Arabidopsis thaliana: one gene and its partners. The protein of the gene in region 4 interacts with the protein of the main gene of each other region in a pairwise test. Each region holds a gene or a part of one and is shown on either strand. Other genes may lie near its edges. The genes, in order: AT4G29100, AT4G30180, RSL2 and BEE1.

Evidence for each region.
Region 1: the proteins of BEE1 (region 4) and AT4G29100 interact in a two-hybrid assay, tested with the Arabidopsis thaliana proteins (one large-scale study listed by BioGRID).
Region 2: the proteins of BEE1 (region 4) and AT4G30180 interact in a two-hybrid assay, tested with the Arabidopsis thaliana proteins (one large-scale study listed by BioGRID).
Region 3: the proteins of BEE1 (region 4) and RSL2 interact in a two-hybrid assay, tested with the Arabidopsis thaliana proteins (one large-scale study listed by BioGRID).

What each region holds. Positions count from the first base shown.
Region 1 is NC_003075.7:14,338,496-14,346,160, forward strand, and holds AT4G29100 (basic helix-loop-helix (bHLH) DNA-binding superfamily protein), read left to right. Parts: upstream 1-2,469; 5' UTR 2,470-2,644; coding exon 2,645-2,973; intron 2,974-3,208; coding exon 3,209-3,587; intron 3,588-3,857; coding exon 3,858-3,938; intron 3,939-4,569; coding exon 4,570-4,635; intron 4,636-4,794; coding exon 4,795-4,860; intron 4,861-5,128; coding exon 5,129-5,188; intron 5,189-5,343; coding exon 5,344-5,388; coding exon of another isoform or gene 5,389-5,430; exon of another isoform or gene 5,431-5,882; coding exon 5,883-6,080; 3' UTR 6,081-6,518; downstream 6,519-7,665.
Region 2 is NC_003075.7:14,765,724-14,770,271, forward strand, and holds AT4G30180 (uncharacterized protein), read left to right. Parts: upstream 1-3,060; 5' UTR 3,061-3,304; coding exon 3,305-3,781; 3' UTR 3,782-4,048; downstream 4,049-4,548.
Region 3 is NC_003075.7:16,238,108-16,243,364, reverse strand, and holds RSL2 (ROOT HAIR DEFECTIVE 6-LIKE 2), read left to right. Parts: upstream 1-2,195; 5' UTR 2,196-2,312; coding exon 2,313-2,852; intron 2,853-2,945; coding exon 2,946-3,251; intron 3,252-3,359; coding exon 3,360-3,425; intron 3,426-3,556; coding exon 3,557-3,622; intron 3,623-3,718; coding exon 3,719-3,799; 3' UTR 3,800-4,002; downstream 4,003-5,257. UniProt on the Arabidopsis thaliana protein: Transcription factor involved in the regulation of root hair elongation. Does not seem to be a direct transcriptional target of RHD6 and RSL1. Involved in the regulation of root hair elongation in response to low phosphate.
Region 4 is NC_003070.9:6,329,167-6,335,387, forward strand, and holds BEE1 (BR enhanced expression 1), read left to right. Parts: upstream 1-2,231; 5' UTR 2,232-2,297; coding exon 2,298-2,654; intron 2,655-2,757; coding exon 2,758-2,883; intron 2,884-2,984; coding exon 2,985-3,050; intron 3,051-3,480; coding exon 3,481-3,549; intron 3,550-3,833; coding exon 3,834-3,911; coding exon of another isoform or gene 3,912-3,953; exon of another isoform or gene 3,954-4,323; coding exon 4,324-4,410; 3' UTR 4,411-4,690; downstream 4,691-6,221. Other genes in the region: AT1G18390 (Serine/Threonine kinase family catalytic domain protein), read left to right, coding at 1-153, 254-769. UniProt on the Arabidopsis thaliana protein: Positive regulator of brassinosteroid signaling.

The DNA of each region.
Region 1 (7,665 bases), on a different chromosome or scaffold from region 4:
ATAGTTGGGAAAGTGATTGATTTTCGTAAAAACCATTTTCCAACTAATATAACATATGATAGGAAAGTAGTCAGAAAAATCTTACAAAAATGTGCATGGAAATGGTGGAATTTACAGGTAGCATTACACATAATCATTTCATCATTAAATGCTAAGTTTATCCACCATATTGGCTTGGTTACAGAGTCTAAATAGAAATTGCAAGAGTTACATCCTAGTTTTGTCAAACTTTGGACTACACTATTACAGTTTCGCCTCTTGTAAAGAAAAATCGTTGAAGAGAATTTCGATGACCAGTTGTGAATGTCCTGGACTAAGTTAAAGATCTCACTTCTAGTTGTAGTCCCGGTAATAAATACGAAATATAGGATTGTATTGTATTGTATGTTTTCTGACTCGTATATTACAAGTATATGTAAGGATTTCTTGGAAATTGAAATCACTGGGAAACAGAATATTAGGGATCTCCAAACCCTAGGACATTGATTCCTTCGAGATTACTGGTCTTCTTCGTTGTAGGCAAAAAAAAATGGTATTTATTGTTAATTTGTATTTTTCTGATCATGCTTGGACAAAAAAAATGACTCGTTCAGGTTAGAATTTAAAATTAAGTGTATGCGTCATATGACACAATGCTCTCGTCATCTTGTGTCTAACAGAGTGAAATAAAGAACGAACAATTGTTTGTATACACACAAATACAATCGCACCTACATGTGCACATATTTTATTACGCTTATCTATAGAAAACTGTTTGATACATTTTTTCATTCTAAAGTAAATACACAATCCAAAAAATACTATGTCATGTTAAGAATGTTTAGTATATCTATTTATTTTAGGACAAGGAACATTTAACATATAGTAAACAGTTTTAACAAAATTTCTCTGATTTGAAATATATTTTTTATATTATCAGTAAAAAGAAAACTGTAAAGGTAATTATAGTCGTTGATTAAGATTATACTTAGTTTTTTAAAATAACATGTTTTAAAAATTTTGCAAAATAAGTTTTTTTTTTTACATGTCTCATAATTTTTGTCCTCAGTTTATGTTAAAAATATTTTGTTATTTTGATACTAACATCTTCCATACGCTGAAAACATCTTTGAGAATATTTTTCAAAACACAATATACAAAAATCCACAGTGACTTTATTCCACGATGAAATGATATCAAGACATATATGTTCTTACCTTTACCTTTCAACGAAAATGAGAGAAAAAATATATATATATAGTATCACTTTTAGAAAATGTTTTTTTTTGCTAATTAATTATTATATAAAAATGTTGAGAGCAACTTGATCATATATGTAATAAAGTCGCAGTGAAAAAAAAAATGTAATAAAGTCGCATACCGACGTTGTGACTCGTTTTTATGTAATTGATTAGTTAAGTACAGAGTTCGTTAGATGTATTTGCATTGTTACAATTACAGAAAACCCTACGCAACACAATTCAGTACTTTTTACGTCAGCAAAAATAGAATCTTTCGTTGAAAATAATACCAGAATCGTTCTTGTCTTTAATTTTCTTACCTTTTTGTAATTGGATATGATTTTTGACTATGGAATTATTATTATTTTATTCTATAAAATTATAGTTTTTATTATTGGAATCATTTATAAATGCTATTACTCAGTGTTCTTTAAAGTCCATACTAACGAATTCAAGTACTTATTTAACAAAACAAAACAAACAAATACTAATAAACTAAAAGTACAAACATTACTATGTTATTAAAAAAAGCATATAGCTGCGTGATTTTAAAGGTATATGTGACATATAATACAACGACGCCGTCGTATTTTATTGAATTTTTTTGTCACTTTTAATTAGTATACAGTGAGGAAATAAGCAAAAAGAAAGAAAAAAATATTGTTGGCTCGGCTAGTACCTATAAATAAAAACACTAGTATTTGGCCCAGGATATAATCATTGCAAGTTTAGAACTAGTTAGCTAATCTAAACCGTTAGATCAAAGAAGCAATCTTACTAATCAGAAAAACAAAATTCAACAAGTTACAAGAATGAAAAAAATAGGGATAAAAAAAAGGATAATTCATTTACATTCGATCAAAAGGCGAATGCATAGATCATAGATGCAAGACACTTGTGAGTTGTGATATAACCAAAAATTTATTTAATTATATGTAATATATATTCGAAAAATTTATACACCGTATATAAAATATTCGAATAATCCTTTTCTTTGATTTAAAAATATTTTCTGCTTGTTTTCTCAACTCATGTATTAATTTAAATAATAAAAGTAGCTACCACCTTTCTCTGCCCCACTTTAAGATAAAGCTAAAGCATGGAAAAAAGCATGGGAAAAAAGTAAATATATGATATACAATCAAATAAATCTAAAAAAATAGAAAAGAAAAATTAAAGGAACGAAAAAAAGAGGGAGGAAAAAGACAAAATTAAAAAACAAAAATAAAAATTCCAAAAAAATTAACATCACATGTTATCAAATGAGATCAAAATTTAAGTTAGTTTTGAGTTTTCTCTCTCTTTCTCTTCTCTAAAACTACTTAAGCTAAAGAATCAAACACTTCTCAACGTTTCTCCAAAGCCTCTGATTAGTAAACACATAAAGAGATCTATAGAGAGAGAGAGAGTAGAGATAAAAGGTGATGAATAGAGGTGTGTTGGAGAGTTCGCCGGTTCAGCAGCTGATGGCAGCCGGAAACCCTAATTGGTGGAACGTAAGCGGCGGCATGAGGCCACCACCACCGTTGATGGGTCATCAGCAGGCGCCGTTGCCACCACATATGACTCCTAATAACAATTATCTCCGACCACGGATGATGCCCACTCCCTTCCCGCACTTCTTGCCATCTCCGGCGACTTCTTCTTCTTCCTCTTCTTCTTCACCGTCTTTGCCTAATAACCCTAATCTCTCTTCTTGGCTTGAAAGCAATGATCTCCCTCCTGAGTCTTGGAGCCTTAGCCAACTTCTTTTGTAACTATCCCTCTATCTCTCTCCCTCTATAAATATTCCAAAATGAAATATTCTCTATACGCACATGACATGATCTTGTGTTTACTTACTAGTTCACTCTTTGTTTTCTCGTGTGTTGCTACTTAGTCCTAATTACCTTTTTGTTATACGTATATACGTATATACATGTATGTGTTTGTATTTTAAGTATCAAACAAACAATCTAATATTTTGGATATTTTCTTTGTGAACTTAGGGGTGGATTGATGATGGGAGAGGAAGAGAGATTGGAGATGATGAACCATCATAATCATCATGATGAACAACAACACCATGGTTTTCAAGGGAAGATAAGATTGGAGAATTGGGAAGAACAAGTGTTAAGCCACCAACAAGCTTCCATGGTGGCTGTTGACATCAAACAAGAGGGTAACATTAACAACAACAATGGCTATGTCATATCTTCCCCGAACTCACCTCCTAACAAATCTTGTGTTACAACAACTACCACAACAAGCCTCAATAGTAACGACGATAACATCAACAACAATAATAATATGTTGGATTTCTCTAGCAATCACAATGGTCTTCACTTGTCAGAAGGGAGACACACTCCTCCGGATCGATCCTCTGAGGTAACACTTTTTCCACATCTCAGAGATTTTGATAATATACGGAAAAAGCTCGGAAATAATATCTAGTTTTACACATAAATTAGTAAACACATCAACTACTATGAAAAAGTGAAATCTAAAACGTCATTTAAAAAGATCAGGACAACATATTTTATTTTAAGGTTTGGATCTAAATTCAACACGCAACCAGGATGAGTTTTGCTCTGAATTTTTTTTGATTAAATGACTAATTGATCTTTGTTTTGTTTGTTATCTATATATGTGATGCAGTGTAACAGCTTAGAGATTGGTGGGTCTACTAATAAGAAGCCAAGGCTCCAACCTTCTCCTTCGTCACAATCAACCCTCAAGGTAACTAATTGATTATATCAACGAAACTTTGGATAACTTATATAACGTTTTCTGTATATAAATTCCCTCCCTGACATCATACTAACAAAACAAAAACACAAACACAAAGGAGAACAGAAGAAGCAAACAAAACAGAATGGGCACAGAATAAGCTGTGTGGTTTTGTGTTTTGTAACTCTTTTGTTCTCTCCTGTTTTGTCTTCTTCTTCATTCTTCAATATTCCTTTCCTCTCTTTATTTCATAAAAATCAAACTTAAATTAATAAATTTCAACATTCTCCTTAGAATTAGACGACACTATATGTAATAAATTTTATTTTATAGAATATGGACATTTTGAGAGATTTCAAAGTTCTGTCAAAAAAAAAAAGAGATTTAAAAGTTTTGTTTTTTTCTGTAACTTGTTTTGAAACGTAGAAATGGAAGAGTCGCATTAGACATTGGATTCAATAATATCATGATAATTATATATACTAGTGAAAGTAAAATAATTGTTTATCACTTGTACATGCTAAGTAAGCACGTTTTCTCTATGCATGGTAATTAGTAAAAATAATATGACCACACATGCACATATATATAGAAAGCTTTTTAATTGATGCTATTAATTAATCTATGGTGGTAATTAAAGGTGAGAAAGGAGAAACTAGGAGGCCGAATCGCAGCGCTTCATCAGCTAGTATCTCCATTTGGAAAGGTAAAGATCGATTCCATTAACAAATCAAATTTATTAATGTCGTCTAATATTCCTCTATCAAATCAACTTTTAACATTAATTGTGGAGATTTTTTTAGTTTCATTCTTGTTAATCTAAAATCTAAATCATTCTTCATCCCTTTTTACCCATCTTTTGCAGACTGACACAGCCTCTGTCCTGTCGGAAGCTATTGGATACATTAGATTCCTTCAGAGTCAAATTGAGGTGTGACTCGTCTTTTCCAAACTCCAAATATTCTCATTCAGTAAAATAAAAATAATGCTTATGATTACTCCGTTTACCAAAAAAAAAAAGAAGAAAAAAAGGTTGTGATTACTGAGAAATAAATTACAGAATAAAGCATAATGATATTATATAAGAAAGAATAAAGATAGTAGTATAAAGTTTTGTTCTCTCCATGTTAAGTAATATTTGATTGATGTGATTATATATAAAGTATTTATGACTTTTTGCAACTGTTGCACTGTTGCAGGCTCTGAGTCATCCATACTTTGGTACGACTGCCTCGGGGAATATGAGGCACCAACAACATGTAAGTAGCAAATTTTCGTATATATACTGATATACACAAACAAATCATCATGCTATCGTTTTATACCCTTAACTTCTTCTTTTTCGATAACCTACACGAAACTTTTTATACTTATATATTATCTCTTAAGTCTTAACTATGGTTTATATGAATAGTTGCAAGGAGATAGGAGTTGCATATTTCCTGAGGACCCTGGTCAGGTACGTCCATTTTTTCTTGGTCACTATACTTTTAATATATAATTAGAGTCACTATACTTTTTATTGGATCAATTGAATCCAAATCTAAAAAATGTGGACAGCTTTAGTTTCCAAAATTTATCCTTTTTTTTCTTTTGTTTTTTTTCTTTTCTACTGTTTTCTTTAAAGTAAAGTTGGATTAATATTAAAAGATGCAGCGGCCAGCTTTTTTTTCACCCTCCCTTACATTATTATAAACCAAAAAAGTTCGTTAAAACCAACAAAGCCACTAAATTTATTTAAATATCAACTTTTTCTCCTTACTTGTTTTCTTCATCTAAGTGAAATTCAAATTCCTTTGGCGGGGTTTTATATATGCTTTTCACTAGGGGAAATTCAATGATTTTTTTTCTTATCACCTCTTTATATAGGTGTTAGAGAACATGTGTTTACTTTTTTTGTTAATCAATGCTATATATCATGATTGTTTTTTTTTTTTTTTGATATGGTTTTAGCTCGTGAACGATCAGTGCATGAAGAGAAGAGGAGCTTCGTCGTCATCTACGGACAATCAAAATGCAAGTGAAGAGCCTAAGAAAGATCTGAGAAGTCGAGGTTTATGTCTTGTCCCAATCTCATGCACACTCCAAGTAGGCAGCGACAACGGCGCGGACTATTGGGCTCCAGCACTTGGCTCCGCCGGTTTCCATTGAGCCAATGAAATTACGCCACGTGGAATTCCAGCGTTAGAGAAAAATGATATAACATCACGAGCAGTCAGTCTACTGAGAAAACAACAAATTGAGTTTCCAAGGCTGATTGCTCATGATGCTATACAAAGTTCTTCGTTTAAAACTTTGCTAGAGAATTTGCGTCTGGCGTCTGATGAATATGCGTTTGGCGTTTCATCATTTGATGCGTTATCAGATGATATGACCAAGTGATCAATTTATGTTCTTGCTTTAGGAAACTGTTTGTTTTCTTTTACCGGTTAATTGTAATTTGTGGTTAAGTACTTATTTTAATTACTTCCACGTGGTTTGTATCGTTATAATTTTGCTATTACTTATAATATGTCTATTGTGTGGGATATATACGACATGCAGACCATTAAAATAAAAAAGTGTGCCGGAAAATATCGATATAAGTTACTTCGTTTGCCTTTTTCATGCGTAGTTCTTAATTCACGTAAATGATCATCCACAATGAAAAAAGAAAAAGAACGAAAAAGTTCAGAAATTATGAATCTTATTAATTATTATTGATAATTATTTTACTTCACTCCACCATATGTGTGAACTAGTGGAGCCTTGGAGGATCACTAACAAAGAAGAAAATAAGAAACAAGATATATCATCACTTTTTGAGAACTTGCTCTTCATTTAAACGGTTCATTTCTTCTCTTTGAAGTTACGATCATCAAAGAACTTCTTAGGGTTGCTCTCAAAAGCCTCCCTCTAAACGCTTTGTCGTCCACCAGATCCAGGAGCAACCATTGTTTTACCGATGTCGGAAGTGCTACCAGAACCACCGCTTCCGCCACTCGTACCAAAATTCTTGGCTCCATCAGCTTTGGTGTTCTTGGCGTCCATGGCTTGATTTTGGGATTGGAAACGATTATAAATTGAAGGTTTGGTTATTTTGTGAATCATGAATTCGACTGTTGAGACTTAGAAAATGGATCGTATATAGACACCAAGTTGATCTGATAGAATGATAGTAATTTGTGAGTTGTAACAACACGAAATAATGGTCAAATTGGCATGGAATGTAATTACTAATTACTGATGTTATTTCCATGTCAATTTGTAACAATTTTCTCGTAAACTAAAAACGCTCAATACAACAGACACGGCCCATCTCTTAAGCCCAACCAAATAATCTTTGTCCAGTTATCGCTTGGCTCCCTTATTCGATGCGTTTGCCTTACGAGTTTTGACATAACACGCACTTTTTTAATACGCATGTGGTTCGAGTAACGCCGGTTCAGTTTTGTCAATTAAAATCTATAAGACTATAAATACATCGTTTTGGTAGAGTACTATTCGGATCAATAATTATGCATTGTTTTCTTATGTGTAAAAGAATGCATGCTCCATACCAATAAACAAACATATGATTAATATACTTTATCTTTTGCAGTGGATGATGTGGATCATATTATTGAGGAACATAATATAGTGGATTAAGGAATTTATCCATAACACCCGATCCAACAACAAATTATTATATTGATCAAATAAATCATATTATTATGTCGAAAATGACAAAATAAAATAAAAATCCATTACTTCACAG
Region 2 (4,548 bases), on a different chromosome or scaffold from region 4:
TGTTCCTTTTTTACTAAATGTTAAGTTAAAAGAGCTATTTGAAAAACAAAATAAAATGCAGAAAAAAAAAGGATGTGAAGGAGGATGCGACTCGTAGTTGCAATTTCCACCAGATACAAGGAAATCTTTACTGCGTTTCCCCTGTCCCATTCTTAGTTTTTTATTACATTATTTGTACAACACAATAGTTTAATTTATATAAAGATTCCTGCCAAATAGTTTGACATTATGATATGCGTCCTTCGTTTTTAATTATTTCTGAACATTATGTTAAATGCCCTTCGTTCTTGTTTAAATCTTATATATATGAATGTTTTATTAACAAGCCAACAAAAATAAACGTGTGTGTTACATAATAATACCTAGAGAGCTAGACATTAAAAAACCTCTATACGTATATGGATGAAACAAATGATACAGATTGTTAAGCCATTTAGAAAATCCGTGGAAGTGCAAAATGGTTGAAAATGGGTGCTGGATTATGTTTATTTTTTGGTCTTAATCGAGAAAAATATAATAGTTATCTTGTATTTTATTCGTATGAAGTCTCTTTTACTATATTATCATCATATCATGGTGGATTATACATTTTTAAATATATTTAAGGGAACTAAGCATAAGTGATATGTTAAACCTCGATCCTTTTTAAAGTAACTTTTTATCTATCCTCTAAATTTTACGTAATGCTAAAATTTTGATCACGAAGACAGGACATTACATATGAGATATATAGCCATATAGGCAGTGTTCTTTTCTACTCTCAATAAACGAAGATGTTGTAGAAAGAAATGTTAAAGTGAGTGCACGTGGAGACATTTGCGAAGAAAATAGCTCCAAATTAAGAATACAAACAAAACACTCGAATTCAAACCCACATGAGATGTGTCCCTCCCAAATCCCAATCCAAGCCATATCTTTTTCTCCTCTATCTGGGTCCGCTTCTCATATTATTGTTGCTTACACCTTTTTAATTCAGTTTAACTATTTCTTTTTAAAAAACTTATATAAAGAAGAGAAAACAAAATTTAAGAACAGCACAAACAAGTCATAACATGCCATCTACAATATTCGATAGAAATCTCCACAGACCTTGTACAATTCATTCTGACAGTTTTGTACGATTTCTTTGTGGTTCATACTGCAGACAAAATAGTTCTATACTATTTTAATATTATTGGCATTAGTTGGTTGTATTCATTATTGTTCCTTTATATATCTTTTTACGTAAAGATACTGTTGAATAATTACGAATCTGGTTTTACCTAGCTTGATTGTGTGATTGGAAAGAGTTACATTTAATTCGGTCATTTTTTCAACGTGGATTGTCAAAGGTGGAAAACCATTAAGCAAAATTCCAAGAAACTTTTATGATTATATGCATTATTGTTCAATGTCTACTATAGGTGTGAATGTCTAGTATCTATTTTGGTATCCACATCTATTAGTTTGCATCTCAATTTCTTTCTCCTCTTAGATTATATATATATATATATATATATCCAATATATATATATATATTATTTCGTTTGTTTTTAACTAGAAAATTCCTCTACCTTTATGTACTTTTATCTACTTGTATTTAGTAAAGTTTATAGATTAATTAATTTCATCTAGATGGGTTACCATTAACACATGTTTTCCACATTCAATCAAAGGTTATGGGATTGCATTAAAATATAATACGAGAAAACATCACATTCTAACAAAAAAAAAGATTATTTACAAAAGAGAAATAAAATTTCCTTGCTGCATTGATTGATAATCTACTAACCCTTGACTTTTTTTGTGTGGTAGGATAAAGAACACAACAAAACCAATAAGAGATCATTCAGTTTTGGCTATTAACAACAAAAGCTAGTAACGTGTATATTGCATGTATCAAACACTATAAGATTAAGAGACAACTTGTAATGTCTCAACCGCCCATGTTTAGTAGTTATAGATATTGTTTGGACATTTTATTGTTATTATTATTATTATTATTATTATATATATATATATATATATATATCTAAATGATTCGGTATATATTTTAAAAAATAAAAATAAAATAACAAATGAGTAACACCCAGACTTTCATATCATATCAAAGGTGACCTTTTGTGTCAACATAAACTATATTTATCTATTTACAAATCCTATAGGAAAAATTAAAGTCATCTTTAAACCTGGAATGCAATGATGCTTAGAATCAAAAAATCACGACTAAAAGTCCTTGACAAATAAAACGTATTAATAACCCAATTACTGACCACATGCATCTTAACTTTATGTTAATATGCGTAGTAAAGAAACTTGTATCTACGTCATATTAGTTACAGTGGCAGTAAAATTCAGTTTCAAAGATGTTTGTCTTGATATGTTGTACAGATCACCAATTGAACTACCACTAATAATAACTAAATTTCTGTTTAGCAAGTTACCATCTGTATCCAAATATCGCAAAAGTAGTGGGTAGTGAAACCCAAATTCATCACACATGCAGCATAAAAAAAAAGAAGGTCAAATGGTATATATAATATGAGGGAGATCTATATTAAGATAATATGGGTAGAAATGACATAGATTGATCAAACTAATTAGGAGATTGGTCCAAGGACACATACACATGCATACATGTATTATGTATATACAAAGTGTGTGAGTGAGTGAGTGAGAGAGAGAGAGGTTAAGAGGAAGGAACATGTGAAAGCATTAAGAGAAGGTGGGGTTTTGTATTGATGTCTTGTTCTTGGAATGGAGCCACATGGTAAAAGGGTCTCTCAAAGCACCTCTTTAGGGGTAGTTGTGATGCAGCCAAATTAGAGCTCTTGCATGTGACTCCATGTGTTTTTTCTTCCCTCACCCATTATTATTCCCAAATTCTTCTTTTCTTATTTTTCTCTCTTTATTTATGTATATATATATATATATATATATATATACACACTCTCTTTTTGTTTTCGTGTATTTTCTAAAAATAAATGTATTATACAAAAAAACATATATTAGTTGATGATATTCAAATTCCGTTGTTTTTAAAATATTTGTCTAAAAAAGAAAACTACTAACTACGACTTTCAAATAGTCTTGTGTTTTGTACGTGAACGAAAAATAATAACACTCCCAAACATATTACCTCATATATGTATACAAAGAAAATTAAGTTCTACAACTTTACTTTATACATCATCAACGCTTGTTATATACAAACAAACGTAGGACACCGCTCTTCTCTTTCTTTGTCTCTCTCATATTCTAAGTTTGCTATATATGTAACTTTCTCCCTTGTAGACTTTCATTTGCAGCAAAAATAGTTTCTCATATGGAGAGGCAAATCATAAACAGGAAGAAACGAGTGTTTTCTCTTGAACCAAACAAGAACCCTAGTGCAGTTTTCACGAGAAAATACACAAGCCACTTGGTTCCTGCACTCAAGAAGCTCAACATGAACAAGAACTCTTCAAAACAAACCGTGAAGCATGAAGTAGATATGGCTTTGGCTTTGTCTGCTCAAGAATTTGCATGGAGCCGTTTCTTGCTGCAGAAGCTATCGTCCTCATCGAATCCAACCACTACCACTAGTTCTTCTTCCGATGGAATTCGGATTCTTGAAAGACCCGATAAAGAAGGCGGAAACGAAGAAGGAGGGATAGAGGAGAGACTGAGGGAATTGAAGAAGCTTTTGCCAGGTGGGGAAGAGATGAATGTGGAAGAAATGTTGAGTGAGATTGGTAACTACATTAAATGTCTTGAGTTGCAGACGATTGCTCTCAAGTCCATTGTTCAAGATAGTACTTGACTTTTAGTTTAAGTGTATAATTTATAGTTTGTTTCATGTTTTTTTTGTTGTCTTTAAACGAAAATCATCTGTGTTTTTTTTTTTCTCTTGATTTCTTTAAGAACAAGAGCATGTATTATAGTGTTTTTCTTTTTTCCTTTTCTTAATTAATCATGGTTACCGAAATACCTAAAGTACCACACATGGCCGTTTATACGTACATCTTATAAAATTCGATCAAAATCTGATTGAAATTTAAATTATTGGTTGTAATGCCAAATAGACGATGTGCTGCCTAAAATAAAACTCTTATGTTGTCTTTTTTTCCTGAATTTATTATTTTAATGTTATGAGCAAATCTCCAAACTTTAATATTCTAATCATTTTAACCTGACAAACTTTGTGTTTGTGTATATATTTATATTCCTGCAAGTTTTTTTTCTCCTTTAGCGAAAACATATGAACTTTCGACTACAAAAAATCAGATGTAACAAATCTTCAATTAAATAAAAGCTACACATTAGTAGAGATCACCAATATGTTCCAGCTGCAGTAACTACAGGTGCACCATTAAAATGTAAACAAAAATTAGGACTACTGGACTAGAATTACTTTCCAAAAAATTCGATGAATATGAAAAACAAAACGCCGAAATTGTAAATATCTAAAAAGGAGGAAAGTTGGATGACATATGTGTAAACTATGAAAGTCATAACATTGATTTGAAGTCATCATCCATATCTTTGCACGTGTCTCACAGTCACTCGCACGCATCCAAATCTCTCTAT
Region 3 (5,257 bases), on a different chromosome or scaffold from region 4:
ATGGTAGAAGTAAATGTCATACACATTTAACTGAGATAGATAGTGTTTTTTTTTTTAATAACAAGAATGGCTTATGAGCTTTTGGACTTTCCACGCGCACGATCTGCCGTCCAGTGGTTGACTCAACCTAACCAATTATTACTTAATATAGTTAATCCAAATAACTCAGTATCATTCTTTCTCCCTTATTTTAAAAACATTAATATGATGCAGAAACTGTCACGTTCAACAACCAGGTCTCTGATTCTCCCATTTCACATCCCTTTCTCTCTCTCTTTCATTCTCATGAACTCTTTATTTTCTGCTACACAGTTATTTTATCCATGGAACTTGACAACTTAAGCAACCAAAGACTTCGCGATTCTTATTTTAATATAAAATAACTACTAAGTTGTCAAGGGCGTTAGAGGAAGAGCTTTTGTGTTCTTAGTTTCGTAAATTAGATGGTTAATTTTTAAATGTTTCATCAAAAACACAATATCAAAAGAAAATAATAATAAATTTAAACAATATATGTAGATTAAAACTTCAAATCACAAAATAGATGGGAAAAAACCGGCCGGTTTTTGGGTCACTACAAGTTGGCGTTTTTCAAAGTATAGGCTTGATTTGTCATTTGTTTCTAATTTCGCATCAACTTGACCTAAAAGTGAATTACGCTTAATGTCGAAATATTCCATTCCTTAGTTTATTTCGGTTTTGATATAATAATTACAACTAAAAATTAGGATAATCCAAGTATTGTCATAATACACAAACTGACAAACGCAATAATTTTCTCTCGTAAGTCGTCGTACCTCTTTAATCCGTTATTGATTGGTTCAAGGTTAGATTTTTACATGATTTAATCATCGAATAGACGAGAAATATGTCTAGCCGTCTAGGTCCATAGAGTATGCATCATTTTGTAATCTATTTTAATCACATTAGCACATAAATCTAGTCAGTGCATATTCGAAAAAAAACACAGCTGACAACAAATATAGAAATTGAAAAAAAATGTAAAAGTAGAAAGAGACAATGTACATAAATCTATATCTTTGTGTTTGTGTTGTATAGGTATTCAGTATTCTAGTTAGATAATTTCTCTTTAGAAGTCGTATAGCATATGGATATGCTTCTATCTAAATATAATATATTTGAAATTTGTAAGGATTTTGGATAAGTTTTGATTTTTTTTTCTAGTCAGCGGGTGAGTGGGAAAATATCATTCTTTCTACTCAGACCCAATAGTTTCTCGATTGTTTGTTACTTTGTAAAGTAAAAAATGCTTAATACTTTAATGCGTTGTATAATTATGCAGAATTTTAGTTTAAGCTATAAATTATAATACACTTATAGCTAATCAATATATAGGAATATTCTTACTATATGTAGAATATTGGAGAATTTTTTTTTTTACTATTAAAATAAAAATAAGTCTTGCTTATATCATGGCAGGTTGAACTATATGGGGACCTAACTACATGTCATTAGGGGAAAAACATTCATATCATAGGTATCATATGACGTTATGATATGAAGTTTTTTTTAAGGTGGATCAACACTTGTGAATTGTATTTACTCGATACTCAACATCAAAACTCGCGATCTCAACGGATTGGCGCAATTAGAAAGCAGTTTATGGGGTCTAACCGTAAGTTCAGTGTTCCCAAGAATTTGAATCATAGTTGTGTGCAAAAAAACTCATTAATATAAACTATACGTTCATGAGTTTTTAACACATCTACTATTTCATCGAGTGAGTTTGCAAAAAACACTTTTGCTAAGAAATCTGTTTATCTCTTATTACTCGGATGCTAACGAAACATGGAAGTCGATAAAATTATAATGAGCTAAGCTAAGAGCTCTTCCAATTTTGATCCTAAATATGCAGTGAATACGGCCACCACAATCATTTCTCATATGAACTAGTATATCAACCAACTATAATCTTGTTTTTAACTTAAAACGATGTATTTAACATATATAAGTGAAGCCATTAACAAGCAGAAATGCAGAATCATAAACGACAAACGACAAATATATATTAAACTTAATGTTCGATGACCAAGTTGCAGAGAGCCCACCATAATTAGCTGTCCATATCTAATGGTATCCCAGACTTGGTTATTTACAAATTAATTAGAAAGATGATTAACTAGTGTCATTATGTGTTGACATTTATTTATCCACTATCTCTCATGTTCTCTATATATACATTCCAACTCCTCTTCCTCATTCCCTCACTTCTCACAAGACTTCCAACTAACAATCTTCTTAATTAAGATTAATCTCTTAATTAAGACGCTTAGTTAACAAAACATATAAAAATGGAAGCCATGGGAGAATGGAGCAACAACCTCGGAGGAATGTACACTTATGCAACCGAGGAAGCCGATTTCATGAACCAGCTTCTCGCCTCTTATGATCATCCTGGCACCGGCTCATCCTCCGGCGCAGCAGCCAGTGGTGACCACCAAGGCTTGTATTGGAACCTTGGTTCTCATCACAACCACCTTAGCCTCGTGTCTGAAGCCGGTAGCTTCTGTTTCTCTCAAGAGAGCAGCAGCTACAGCGCTGGGAACAGCGGATATTACACCGTTGTTCCACCCACGGTTGAAGAGAACCAAAATGAGACAATGGACTTTGGGATGGAAGATGTGACCATCAATACAAACTCATACCTTGTTGGTGAGGAGACAAGTGAGTGTGACGTTGAGAAATACTCTTCTGGAAAGACTCTTATGCCTTTGGAAACCGTAGTGGAGAACCACGATGACGAGGAAAGCTTGTTGCAATCTGAGATCTCTGTGACTACTACAAAATCTCTCACCGGCTCCAAAAAGAGATCCCGTGCCACATCTACTGATGTAAGTCTTTAATTTTCGAACTGGTTGGCAATTAGCTAGAGAGATCACATTTGGTTTAGTGACTAATATAGAAACGGTTTGCCATGGACTCAGAAAAACAAGAGAGCAAGAGTGAATAAGAGGGCCCAGAAGAACGTAGAGATGAGTGGGGATAACAATGAAGGAGAAGAGGAAGAAGGAGAGACGAAGTTGAAGAAAAGAAAGAATGGGGCAATGATGAGTAGACAGAACTCAAGCACCACTTTCTGTACGGAGGAAGAATCAAACTGCGCTGATCAAGACGGTGGAGGAGAAGACTCATCCTCTAAGGAAGATGATCCCTCAAAGGCCCTCAACCTCAATGGTAAAACAAGAGCCAGTCGTGGTGCAGCCACCGATCCTCAAAGCCTCTATGCAAGGGTAAATTGCTTTGTTTGTTTCCCACAAAAAAGATAAAATATCAAATTTTTATGGAAGATTATGTTTCAAAAAATTAATTTGGTTTTTTATTATTTTTTTGTCGTGCAGAAAAGAAGAGAAAGGATTAACGAGAGACTAAGGATTTTACAAAATCTCGTCCCCAATGGAACAAAGGTAAAAAAAAAAACTCATGCAAACGTTTAAACATGCAGAAGATATGGCTCTTTTACATGCAAATTCATTAATTATACAAGAAATTGTTAATAAAGATTCTAAACATTTACAATTGCTTAAATACGTAACAGGTCGATATTAGTACAATGCTTGAGGAAGCAGTTCATTACGTCAAATTTTTGCAGCTCCAAATTAAGGTAAGCAAGGGTTTTAAATACAAATCGTTTTTTTTTTGTACGTTCAATTGTTATATGAATATGATCTAACTAATATTTTAAAATATAATTACGCAGTTATTGAGCTCTGATGATCTATGGATGTATGCGCCGATTGCTTTCAATGGGATGGACATTGGTCTCAGCTCACCGAGATGAAGCAGAAAACTTGTGATTTTAGTTGGATATTTTCTCTTATATATAACCAAAAATGTAATATTCTTTTTCTTTTTTAATATTCTCCGCCTTCGGACGAGTTCGATTATAAATTCTCGTACGATGTTCAAATATGAGAGAAATGGAGAGTCACGTTCGATTTTTTTTATACTTTCATTTTCTTTTATATCACATATTTACATTTCAATTCTTATGTTTCATCTGTTCAATCGATAGTTTTAATACTTATCAGGATCATAAGATCTATACCTTAAACAGTTTACACTCAATCTGATCACCGTTTTATTTAATGATCAAGGGACATATATGATTATTTTTAATCTGATCACCGTTCGAAGAATACCTAATGAATGGAGAGTTATTATTATAATATTAAAATAAAAAATAAAAAATGAAGAGGTCTGACAAACGAATGAAGAAAGGTCTGACAAAAGAGGTAATAGTTGAAAATGTGAATGTGCTAATAATAACTTAACAAAGTAACTTCTATTTAAGAAATGTGAATGTACATCATTTTGGTTGAAATGTGTGTGATATTTAATATTTAGGCGGAATTTGTTTTCATTTTTTTTAGGCTTAATTAAAATGGTAAGTTCATTCCAAAGAAAATCCTTTTTCACTAGGAGTAAAACCCTATTTTACAAAATTAGTTGTGATGCGAAAAACAAATGCTCATCAATTAATCAATGCACTCATTTGTGAAGGATGAAATATCAAATATGACCACTTAAAAACTTCGGCCGCAACATTTTCTTTCTCACACGTATATTCATGAATGAGACCAATTCATACTTTATGTTTAGTTTATAATTTTACAATGGAATATTCAGTACTAATTTTGCGTATATGATTTTCCACTGTCGGATTTATAAAAAAGTATAATTGTTCCCATGCAATAGCTGTGTTTAGACCTTATAGTATATAAAAATAACAGTTATACCTTGCCAAAAGTTCGAATATATGATATATAAAAGGATATTAAATTAGTTTCTTGAGATATCTATCTAATAGTCCAAAGCATTTAAAAGTGGCTGGAATAGCATATCCAACTTATTTCCCCACTAAAATATTATCGCAATCAATCATATTCATGGCAATCAATATCAGATATTTGATTTTTTATTTCTGCTTAATTGATGGATTTATGACAAATTAAAACTACTGTTGCGAAGAAAAAAATTACAACTACTGTTCTACAACTTTATCTATATTTTGAACGGCCAATTTTAATAGCAATTATGAAACCCTTATAGCATTGAAATCTAATGAATATCTAATTTTATAGTATTTCAGTCTTAGAATTTATTGAAAAACCCATCAAAAACAACAAATAAAACGAAAAAAACTGTACTACTTCTAAATGTGTCTCATAGAGAGGGTGATAAAAGTTGCATTGCTTAGTGCCTAATCGATCGATCAAATAGTACATGTAATCAGTAC
Region 4 (6,221 bases):
CCACAGGCAAACCCTAGCTCACTTCCTTGGTCTATTCGGCTCAAAATCGCTGTTGAAACTGCCTCTGCCTTGAAGTATCTCCACGCCTCCAAGATCATCCACCGTGATGTTAAATCCAACAACATCCTTCTCGACCAAAACTTCAATGTCAAGGTCAGTAACTCACACTGGTTATTACTCAATCTGGTGGGATTTTATCGGATCATAATCTTAACTTCTTTCTGTGTTTTTTTTACTGTTTTCGACATTTTAGGTTGCGGATTTTGGACTCTCTAGACTGTTTCCTATGGATAAAACGCACGTATCTACCGCTCCACAAGGAACTCCGGGATATGTCGACCCGGATTACCACTTATGCTATCAACTCTCAAACAAAAGCGACGTGTACAGCTTTGCGGTAGTGTTAATGGAGCTTATCTCTTCACTTCCAGCAGTCGACATCACAAGACCGCGCCAAGAGATCAACCTCTCGAACATGGCAGTCGTTAAAATCCAGAACCACGAGCTCCGCGACATGGTGGATCCGTCACTTGGGTTTGACACGGATACAAGAGTGAGACAGACGGTGATCGCTGTCGCTGAGCTGGCGTTCCAATGCTTGCAGTCGGATAAAGATCTTAGGCCATGTATGTCGCACGTGCAGGATACGTTGACGAGGATACAGAACAATGGATTTGGTTCGGAAATGGATGTTGTAGATGTGAACAAGAGTGGACCGTTGGTTGCACAGTCTCCAGATAGTGTCATTGTGAAATGGGACAGTAAGTAAAATTAGTCGCACGGCCACTAACATTGTATGTGTTTATTATTTGTATGTTTAAAATTGTCAGTTAACAGTTAGAGAATGGTGTTCGTGTTCTGTATTAGATGATATTTTTGGGAATGTATATAATGATGATCTTGTTCCGATTCCACCTAGAGAGGGACCGTAACATACAAAACTTCGTGATTGGGCCTGACCGGACTAAATCAGCAATTTTGTATTGCTATTTGCTGCCAACTGAAACTATTTTTTTATTAGTGGTTAATTTTATTTTTTTACGGAAAAGGTAAAAATATTTGAGACATCAAAATAATGATGGTAATTAAGTAACGCCAGCTCAGCGACGGCGATGACTATCCACCAATTTAACGTCAGAAGAATATATATATGTATATTGAGCTTATCTTCTGTTTCCAATGTAAGTGGAAAGTCCACTGCTGCAATCACAATGTAAGACCTGCATCTATGAAGTTTTAATGAAAGACACTTTCAGAGAAAAAAAAAAAAAACTTCTGTTTCCAAAATTTCCTAATTAAAGCACACCAATTTGGGCATGGATGCTTTACTACTTCTATTAATGAACAAGTTAAAGAGTAAGTTGTCTTGAATGAATGAAATTGCATGTGAATCAAATCCCTCCACCATACATAATAGATAATCTATAGTAATGGCCCAACTAAACATTGACATTTGTTGCAACCTAACTCTTTCCTAAAAGGAAGAAAAAAAAAAAAAAAAAAAAACTCTTTCCTAAAACTCAATGTGTTTGATCATCACAAGGACAAACAAAGGAAATCTCTAGTATGCCGATTAAAGTGAAAATTTGTCTTCACCAATATAAATAATTTGGTAACTTAAACTTTAACTAAAGATTCATAAATTGGCGTCAACTTATGTAAAAGAACCTTCATATATACTTTCGTTTATCTCCCTATATTTTTATACATACACATATTTATAGTATTTTTGTCGATTAATTGGCATTGGCCATTTGGAAGTTATAATTAAGTTGGCAAATGGATGTGATCTCTTACCCTATACACCTACATAAAAAACCCTCCATGCAAAACATTAATGGATGTTTTCATTAAAACAAGTTTTGATATCAACTTAGTTTGACTAGCTACATCCATTTCAATATTTTCTTCCCAATATTAATAATAAATTTAAAGATAGACCACTAGTTCTTAACCTCACACCAAACTGACTAGAAATGTTCTTCCCCCTTGCAAACAGAGAAAGCCTAATGGAACCCACGACCAAACATTGGTCCTACTTTTCCTTGTTTGGACATATCTCCCCGACACACAAATCCCAGAACGTTCACTTGCCCACGTGGCTCTCCCTTTATTTCTCTCTTTTTCTTTCTTAATTTTCTCCACATTTCTTTTTCTAAAATCATAAATTAAATTAATAAAAAAATCCAATCGAACAATATAAAAGTCTCAAGTTTTGTATCAACCAGTCTAAAGAAGTTGTCAGAAAAAAAAAAAAAAAAAAGTGTCAAGAAGATCATATCTCAATTCATTATATTATGGCAAATTTCGAGAATCTTTCTTCTGATTTTCAGACAATAGCCATGGATATATATTCTTCCATAACTCAAGCTGCAGATCTAAACAACAACAACAGTAACCTTCATTTTCAAACATTTCATCCTTCCTCTACTTCTCTCGAATCGCTCTTCCTTCATCATCATCAACAACAATTACTTCACTTTCCCGGAAACTCTCCAGACAGTAGTAACAATTTCTCTTCAACTTCAAGTTTCCTCCATAGTGATCACAACATCGTCGATGAGACCAAGAAGAGAAAAGCTTTGTTACCTACTTTGTCTTCATCAGAGACTAGCGGCGTCTCCGATAATACGAATGTTATTGCCACTGAAACAGTAATTGATCTCGAAACCCTAGCTAATTATCTTATCATTTTCATAACTTATCATTAAAAAGTTCGTTTAAAATAATTACTTTTATTGTCTAAAAAATATCTAGGGTTCTTTGAGAAGAGGTAAGAGGTTGAAGAAGAAGAAGGAAGAAGAAGACGAGAAAGAGAGAGAAGTTGTTCATGTGAGAGCCAGAAGAGGCCAAGCCACTGATAGCCACAGCTTAGCAGAACGGGTAAAATTGCTTAAATTGTCTATATAAATTCATTTTTTTTATAAACGTGGTGTATTCATTTAAATTTATATACATGTCTACACTCTATATCAAAATTTCAGGTTCGGCGAGGGAAAATAAACGAGAGATTAAGATGCTTGCAAGATATGGTGCCCGGATGTTATAAGGTAATAATGCAAAGATAAATATAATAGTTTAACATTTTCAACTTTTCATTACTTCTTTTTTAATATATTTGTAATCAAAATAGAAACTAATGGCCATTAAACAATAAATAGCATATGAAAAGGTCATCATCGGCATTAATTGTCACTAATTATACTTGAATCAAATTTAAGCATTTTATGATAAAAGTGATACTTTTAGTTAAACAAGAACATATGTATCCAAAAGTATTTTTAACATGCATGAGTGTGATTTTAGCTTTTTTCTTTGATACCGCTCATAATATTTTCCGAAAATTGTTCTTCGGATTTTTTTTTGTTTTTTTTGTTTACAAAGAACTCAGAAAAAAAATTGTAGAAAAAGTGATGTGATTTTCTATTGATTTAGTGGTGCTTACTTCTTATAATGAAAGTGTATGTTTGGTGGGTGCAGGCTATGGGAATGGCTACGATGCTTGACGAGATAATTAATTATGTCCAGTCTCTACAGAATCAAGTCGAGGTAAATAATTTAAGTTGTAATCATAAACTACATATATCAATAAGACTTTGTCTTCTTGTATTTTGGAGAAAGAAAAAAAAAACTAGAAAATGGAGGTTTCATGAGATGGGAGGTTCGGTAAATACCTACTTTAGTAGTACTTTCCGAAACACGGCAAATCTTAGATATTCGAAAATTACAAAAAAAAAACGAAAATCTTACCACACACTTTAAAAAACTTCCAAAACACAAGCTTTAATTTTATAAATTACTCAATTTTGTTTCATGTTTTTTGTGGATTTCAGTTCCTCTCGATGAAACTCACTGCAGCAAGTTCGTTTTATGACTTTAACTCAGAGACAGATGCAGTTGATTCCATGCAGGTACTAGAACATTCTAATAATGTTTTTCAATTCTTAAGATAAGCATATATATAATTAATTAGTGGTAGTCTGGTAGAGATGTTGTAATGGGTCCGGTATGTTTTGATCGAGTCGGTTCTACAAAGATTTATTCAAAAATACAAGTGTTTGTAGTTTAGATTCAATCTTATTAGACTATAATATATGATCACGCGGACTATATGACCCGCAATTAAAATATGTTCGACAGGTCAAATCCAGCCTTTGCATAATTGATCTTGTATGGTTTATTGGTTTAAGTAGTCTCTTTTTTTTTGGCATTATATTTGCATGGTTTAAGTCTAACTAGTTGTTGTTATGACAATTACTTTATTTTAACGTGATAAAGTATTTCTATTAGTATTGAATAATATGAATGGAATACAATTGGCAGAGAGCAAAGGCACGTGAGACAGTGGAGATGGGGAGACAAACAAGAGATGGGAGTCCTGTCTTCCATTTATCAACATGGTCCCTTTGACTTTTGTTTTCTCTTTTCTCTTTTCCTTCTTTTTTATTGTTTTCGAAATTATTCTTCTATTTATTTGGATGCGATATGTCATATATACGACCCAACTTGGGATAATATTTGTAATCTGTATACTTGTAATTTCGACGATATAAATTTATTGGTGACTTATAATTGTCATGTAAATATCTCAGTTGTCCTCTCCCTTTTCGCTTTGCTATTTCGTTTGCTTGGCACCTTTTTCCTTTTCCTCTTATGTAATTGTCCTCTTAAGTTATGAAATGATCAGAAATAAAATTCAACAGAATTTTTTTATTTTGTTTCTGCAAATGAAGTTATAAATCATGGATGAATTAGCTCATATGTCAAAGTGTTGATGAGTGAATTGACGATGATGGGAAGAGAGAAATCAATTGTAAATTGTATATATTACCAAATCTTCAATGAAATGTGATTAGTCTTTATAACAAAAAGAAATGAGCGTTACCAGTCGGTTTAAATATTGATTTTAGTTTATTAATTTTAGGGTCGAGAGTTCTTAGTCTGATTACAGACATGCATGTGCTTTTGATGTCTAGAGTTCCACTTCACTTTCCTACGTAAAGTGGGTTAAAAACGGCTTCGGCTATAGAATTACTAAAAATGAAGATTAGTTTATAATATAAAACGATATGTTCTTGTTAAGGGATTATATTTCCATTCATATGTAATTTGCTTTTGGTTACTAAAAACATTTTCCTTTTTCAGCGAGAAAGGCATAGTTACATATACGATAAACTGGAAGAGGCAAGTTGCGCAAGGTTTGGTAACGAAGAGGAGTTATGGAACCAAAGAGACTTTGTCGGTGTAAATTAACAAAAACACCCTTCACTTCTGTAGCTTTCCAAAGACAATGATGTGTGTCTCCCAAACCAAAAACAGAGACAAAATAGTAAATTGTGATGCGAAGCCTATGGACGTGTTTTACAGACGAACAACCAATCTCTTGAGACTTCCTTCCTCTTTTGTGGTCTCTCTTATTATCCATATATGAATATCTCTTATATATTTCATATTTTTTTCAAAAATAATTCTAATAGCGACGGTTCACTTCACAGGATCTTACGGATGTTGCCTATTCATAATCTTTATGATTGATAGAACAATTCAGATATTTGTATGATCGTATATATAAAGAAAGTGAGGGTATAATAATACACTTTTGTCTTTCTGTTATTCTCTCTATACATGTTTCTTTATTTCTGATTTTTTTTTTTTATTATAATTTTTTTTATGACATTTTGGACACTAGCTAGTACTCATTCCATATGCATGGCAGGTCGTAGCCGAGGTTTAAGTTTTATCTTTGTAATGCAGGTATTACGTAATTTACCCGAGATTAGTATGGTGTAGATGGCTTATGATAAAATCCTTACAAAAATATTTCGAATATAATATTAATACATGATAGATATGTTTATACATAGGTTCATGCAGGAATTAAACTTCTTAACAAAAGAAAAAAATTCCGAGAGCTAAAATGCAAACTTGTTAATAACTACTTCAAGAGCCAAAAAATTAATAGAAAGAAAGACGAAAAAGATGCATGCATCTCATGGCATTCATAAGGACAGCTTGAAATGGACCATTCGTTGAAGGATGGTCAATGTGGGATTTCATGTTTACTTTCTCGTTGTTTATTGAAAAAGGCTCATTTTCATGATTAAATCTTACAGACTTTTGTGGTAGTTTCAATTCATAAAAGTTTTTAGTGTTGTCAAAATATATTAATAACTATCATATATAGATCGAATTTTATGATCCTAAAATCCAACAAAATACAA